2 linked regions of the Saccharomyces cerevisiae S288C genome follow. The protein of the gene in region 2 purifies or fractionates together with the protein of the main gene of each other region. This does not show direct contact. Each region holds a gene or a part of one and is shown on either strand. Other genes may lie near its edges.

Region 1 (3,659 bases), on a different chromosome or scaffold from region 2:
AGGATGATTATGAATTGGAACAATTACTCAACATGATAAGAATACCAATGTTCCTGGAAAAGTTCATGCTCTTTGCACTTTTAACAAGCTTGGACTGTTTTTTGTATTACTTTACTGTATTACCGATACGACTGATAAAGGGATATGTAAAGCAATTCAAGAGTTATCGTCAGCATTATCGCCTGCAACAACGGTCTGGGCATAAGAATAAAATACCCTTTCGATATAGAATAACTTCAAGAGAATATAAAGAGAGATGTATGATTTTTATCATCGTGATTTCATCCATTTTGTTGAGCAAACTAGACACCTCAAAACTATATCACAGGATAAAACGGCAAAGTACGATGAAATTGTACATGCTATTCAGTGTACTGGAAATGGCGGACAAAATGTTGGCAAGTTTGGGCCAGAGCTTATTAACGGTTATGCTTTCTAGGAAAAACTCGGAACGGATATTACTGCATAAATGTTTGTTAGTGTCAATGAGCTTGACATATGTGACTATACACGGCTATGTATTGGTTTACCAGGCCATTTCATTAAACATAGCCGTGAATTCGTATTCCAATGCCTTGCTAACTTTATTACTATCCATGCAATTTGCAGAAATCAAATCATCGGTTTTAAAGAAATTTGATAAGGAGGGATTTTTCCAAATAACCATTGCAGACGTAGTGGAAAGATTTAAGTTGACCTTATTATTGTCAATAACTGGCCTTAGGAACCTCCAGTCGTGGTCATCTTCATTATCGAACACAAGCATCAATTTCTGGAGTCCACGTTCCACATTATCAATCGTCATTAACATACTTTGTGGGCCGATGGTAAGCGTGGTAGGGAGTGAAGTGTTAGTGGATTGGGCAAAGCATGCTTACATCACAAAATTCAATCGGATCCGCCCACAGATATATGATAAGTTCTATTATATAATATACAAGGATTATTCTACGAGAACGCACAAATTAGAAGATAGATTGGGATTGCCTTTACCTGCATTCGTTGTCCTTTTTATTGTAATGGTGAGGCCAACACTTTTTAAATCATCGGAACCTTCTTACCTTCCTTCGCTATTTAGGATCCTCTTCATGGGGGCATCCGTGTTTTTACTAGCATTGTTGGCAAAATTTACACTAGATCTTATTTTAATCAAATGGAGCAAACGGATAGAGCAACGGTTCAGAGACCAAGCTTTCAATACCGTTGTAACTGAAGAAGAATACGTCCCAGGTTTACTCTCGGGCGGTATGGGTAAAGTCGACGTGTCTACAAGAATTGCATTACATTCTGATTACAATAAAGAGAATCGTATAGAGACCGAAAGTGTATCGCCAATGCGGAAAAGAAAAACTACTTTAACTGCTGAATGTACTCCTCCTAGCCTAAATGATATTAGAAGACAGAAAGATTCCAAGAATCCACGATCGCTTGAAAATGTCGCTCGCTATAAAATGGTTTCTAAAAGAATATGGTAATCTAAGATCCGCATTTATCGCGGCTTACGGCTTTCGGATATTTCGTATATTGCAAGGAGCAAAAAAGAAACCCTGCTTACTAAAAAGCTATTGTTTTGCAGTTTATAAGTTCTTGCCTTTTGAATTATTGATCTTTCCTTTATCGTTTATTTAGTTTCCTATTGTAACTTGGAACTGTATTATATAATAGTGCACAGCACTGAAGTTGTAACTACTGTACGTCATGCTTTTCAGAAACATAGAAGTGGGCAGGCAGGCAGCTAAGCTATTAACGAGAACCTCGAGTCGTTTGGCCTGGCAAAGTATTGGGGCCTCAAGGAATATTTCTACCATCAGACAACAAATCAGAAAGACTCAACTATATAATTTTAAGAAAACTGTGAGCATCCGTCCATTTTCTCTCTCCTCCCCTGTTTTTAAACCACATGTTGCTTCAGAATCAAACCCTATAGAATCACGTTTGAAGACCTCGAAGAATGTTGCTTACTGGTTAATAGGTACATCCGGTTTGGTATTTGGTATTGTTGTTCTTGGTGGGTTGACTAGACTAACAGAATCGGGGCTGAGTATTACCGAATGGAAACCTGTCACAGGTACTTTGCCCCCTATGAACCAGAAGGAATGGGAAGAAGAATTTATCAAGTATAAGGAATCACCAGAATTTAAATTGTTGAATTCTCACATTGATTTAGACGAGTTCAAGTTTATATTTTTTATGGAGTGGATTCATAGATTGTGGGGTCGTGCTATCGGCGCTGTTTTTATATTACCTGCAGTTTATTTCGCTGTATCTAAAAAAACTTCAGGCCATGTCAATAAGAGGTTGTTTGGTCTCGCAGGTTTATTAGGATTACAAGGATTTGTTGGTTGGTGGATGGTGAAGTCTGGTCTTGATCAAGAGCAACTAGACGCAAGAAAATCAAAGCCTACCGTTTCTCAATATAGACTTACTACGCATTTGGGTACCGCCTTCTTTTTATACATGGGTATGCTCTGGACTGGTTTGGAAATATTGAGAGAATGTAAATGGATTAAGAACCCTGTTCAAGCCATTAGTCTCTTCAAAAAATTAGATAATCCCGCAATTGGCCCAATGAGAAAGATTTCTTTAGCTTTGTTAGCGGTGTCTTTCCTTACCGCTATGAGTGGCGGTATGGTTGCCGGTTTGGATGCTGGTTGGGTCTATAACACCTGGCCAAAAATGGGTGAACGATGGTTCCCTAGTTCTCGTGAATTAATGGACGAAAACTTCTGTAGAAGAGAGGACAAGAAAGATCTGTGGTGGAGGAATTTGCTAGAAAACCCGGTTACAGTTCAGTTGGTCCATAGGACATGTGCGTACGTTGCGTTTACATCAGTACTAGCTGCTCATATGTACGCTATCAAAAAGAAGGCCGTAATTCCAAGGAACGCGATGACCTCTTTGCATGTTATGATGGGCGTCGTTACTTTACAAGCAACACTTGGTATTTTAACTATATTGTACCTAGTCCCAATATCGTTAGCTTCTATCCATCAAGCTGGTGCTTTGGCGTTGCTAACAAGTTCTTTGGTGTTTGCCTCTCAATTAAGGAAGCCAAGAGCTCCGATGAGAAACGTAATCATTACCTTGCCACATTCAAGCAAAGTAACTAGCGGTAAAATTTTAAGTGAAGCGTCGAAGTTAGCCTCGAAACCATTATAATGGATAAAGGTATTCTTATGAGAATTGACAGTATACTCGCTTTTCCGCTTTGTCGCTCCAATGGTTGGATTGTATGTGTGAGGCTTTTTCTTATTATATGTTGGTATCCCTACGAGAAGCTGTAAATATGAATTTCTTTAGTAGGCATCACACACAACAATAGGGTGTATTTATTTTTATTTTTTTTTTTCTTATATAAATGTCAGTAATACATGATATCTTTAAGTTAGGATTTCACGAAATTTTCTTCTGCCTTCATCATGGCATCTGTATTTGTGCTCGCGAGCCTCCAAAGTATGAACATAAACACAGACCTATACGGAGAAAATGTTTCAGAGCATTTTTCCATTATGTCGTCGTCATATATTTTCCAGTTGTATTTCTTATGCTTAATCTTACTCTTTTTAACTACTTTTCTTTCACGCATTAATTCTTTTTCCAATTCTGGCTTATCTGAAAGGTATTTTGAAAAACCCCTAGCAATACCTAGATCTTCAGGA
Region 2 (2,914 bases):
TCGGTATATGATGGTTTTAAAGCCGAAATTAACAGCTCAAGTGAAGCTTCCACGATAAACGAAAAGGAAGCAAACCAGGATCTTAAACCCTGCCAAGAAAAAACCGCCAAGGCAGGGTACACACCAGCATACAGAAGGCAATTGAACGCTAGTATGGGGACTTTGCGTCCAAAAAAGCAGAGCACTGCATATACCAATGTCCCCGTCATTTTCAGCGGCGAAAAGGTGAATTATGGGATGGTCAGAGATCCTTCCTATAGTTTTATGTATCCACTGACGCTATCGCGCAAAGAAACGAGTAGTTTGAGATCAGCTTCTACGTCAAACTTGTCATCGAGCACAGAAAATACTGCGTTACACGAAGAAATAAAACTGGATGACCCATATGAAAACGATTTTACGAATTATACTGTCAACAAGAGAGAATTTATTGACAGCTTACGGCCACACTAATATATATGCATATAGATATATAAACGTACCTACATAGTTTTGCATTTGTATAGATACCCAGACCACTTGTAATAACGATAAAAATAAAATAATAATAAAGGATATTTACAGACAAATAGCACCATACTTGCTATTAAATTGGTGTCTTGGTATTTTCAGCTAGCAAATCGATCTTTTGGCCAGCGGCAGTGACGCTCCATTCATGAATCAAAAACTCTTCGTCGTGAGTGTTCCTATCGGCAACCAGTCTAACGGTTCCAGTAACGTTTTTGTCCCCCTTGATATAAAACGTAATGTTAATCCTACCCTTCACAGAGTTCAGTTCACCGTAGACCCAAGGGATGATACCATCAAATTCTATGCTCTCACCCAGTATGTTTTTAGTTGCTGGAGACCGTCTTATATAATACAGCGTGTTGGAGATAATGGGGGACTCCGTCTTTTCATAGTTGAAGATCAAAGATAGTGCGGACCCAATGGCCACAGAAAACAACAAAAATCCAGCTATTCGCTTTCTCCTCTCCGTGGTTGGGTCAGGCAATTCTCTGTCAATTCTCAATGGCCTGTTCTTGTCTTTCAAAACGATCTTGGCCTCATCTTCAGCGACACTATTATTGAATCTAGCGCTGGTAGAGAATGAGTGCAGCAAGGAACCACGCACTAGCACAGCCTTAGCTGCAGAAGGTGTCACTTTCGGCAACCCTTTAGTTACTAGTCTTAACATCATGTATAGTCTGTTTTATCTTTTACTTTTATGTCGTGGACTGGTACGGAGAGAAAGATCGAACTGTTTTAAAACTGGGATTAAAATGACAAGAAGGCGCTTTCTTTCTCTCCACAATGATCAAAACAAGAACAAGCAAAACGCAAAGAGATGACATTAGTAAGTACCCAAATGAGCTACTAACAACGCATCCGGTAATACTAACAAGAGAAATTGGTTAGGTAGGGAAACTAGTACACATATCCATAGATTTGGTCTTGGTATCAACGTGCCTCGCGGGGATTAAACGCAATACAGGTTTGACGCCTAAACTGGAGACTCTGGACAATCAGACTATGAGAAACTACATGAAGCGGTACTTGAACTTGGGAGAGTCTGTATACGACTATTCTGTTGCCACTTGTGGCTCCTCGACGTATTTCGCTAGGAAATAGGTACGTTTATATTCTATATATGTTGATAATATTTTGTATAACGGCACCCAGCCGGGGGCCAAAATTAATAACCGCAACTTAAAGAGCTATCGCTATCGATTACGCATAGAACTTTAAATGCTAGACGATGATAAGGGCACGGCCATGCATCCACATATAACGCCGTTCACGCCTGAGTACTCAAATGAATTACTGCGAAGGGTCCAGGACCTGTACCACGAAGATATCAAGCACTACTATCCGCAGCTAAAACTGGAGAAGCTGCTGGACCTTCTGGAGCATACAGAGTACCTATTCGAGTTATATCTAGATTCAATCCATCACGATAGGCCCAACGATGCACTGACAGCGTTTATCATTGGATGCTACTACGTGTTCTTAATTATTCCACAATCTTTGCAGTTCCAAACACGAAACAAGTCCTACAGCATCTATACAGATCTAAAAAAGATGTATGAGAATGAAATGAACATGACCAATGTTGTGCTTATGGTGAAGAAAGAAATCGGTGTGGTCCTAGATGAATCGGTTAAACACGGGGCCGGTATTGAGCACAGAATCACCAAGAAGAGGGCATTTTCAGTTCCAGCTGACGATCTTTCAGGTCAGGTAGCTTCACTATCACTTGACACCGCGGCACCGCAAGATCATGGCCTCAAAGGCACGTTTACTGAAGACGACGCAGAACAATCTTCACCTGTTTGGACAGCACCAAACTTAGAGCCCAACGACCAATTGAAACTGGCTTTATTGCCCGAAGTGATACCAACGCCAGCTTTTCGTGAGCCTGAAAGAAAGACAAGTGTTCCAGTGAGACCATCTGTTTTATTGGAAGATGTACCCTCCATATACCACGAGGATGACACTAGTTTCGCATCTTTGAACCCACCATTTCGAGAAATAACCGCAGATAGATCAGTAACTCATCGAAAGGATTCTTACCATTCTGTTTATATGGTGGATAGCGGCAACCTCAAGGAAGACAATGATGATCTGTTCAACGTTGAGAATGATGGCTTCATCCAGAGTTTGGATATTTTACAAAAGCAGAGTATAATCACAGCACCAGAATTGTTTAGTATTTTATCGAATCGCGTTGAACGTGAAAAGGTTTTACTCATCGACTTGAGAATACCACAAAGATCTGCAATAAATCACATTGTGGCTCCGAACTTAGTGAATGTGGATCCAAACTTGTTGTGGGACAAGCAGACGAACACACCTATCTACAAGGATGACATATTGGAACATTTACTGAAGGAGAATGAGAATTTTATAAACCGTAATAAATTTGATTACATTG

Evidence for each region.
Region 1: the proteins of COA1 (region 2) and COX15 purify together in Saccharomyces cerevisiae (affinity purification with western blotting; 2 studies listed by BioGRID, with this or other methods). This does not show direct contact.

What each region holds. Positions count from the first base shown.
Region 1 is NC_001137.3:451,761-455,419, forward strand, and holds COX15 (Cox15p), read left to right. Parts: upstream 1-1,698; coding exon 1,699-3,159; downstream 3,160-3,659. Other genes in the region: EMP65 (Emp65p), read left to right, coding at 1-1,475; MAG1 (DNA-3-methyladenine glycosylase II), read right to left, coding at 3,386-3,659. UniProt on the Saccharomyces cerevisiae protein: Catalyzes the second reaction in the biosynthesis of heme A, a prosthetic group of mitochondrial cytochrome c oxidase (CcO).
Region 2 is NC_001141.2:46,363-49,276, forward strand, and holds COA1 (Coa1p), read right to left. Parts: upstream 1,181-2,914; coding exon 587-1,180; downstream 1-586. Other genes in the region: AIM20 (Aim20p), read left to right, coding at 1-453; ATG44 (mitofissin), read left to right, coding at 1,328-1,336, 1,399-1,611; ubiquitin-specific protease UBP7, read left to right, coding at 1,729-2,914. UniProt on the Saccharomyces cerevisiae protein: Required for efficient assembly of cytochrome c oxidase in the mitochondrial inner membrane. Involved in a step coupling MSS51-dependent cotranslational insertion of COX1 to the addition of its heme A and copper B cofactors.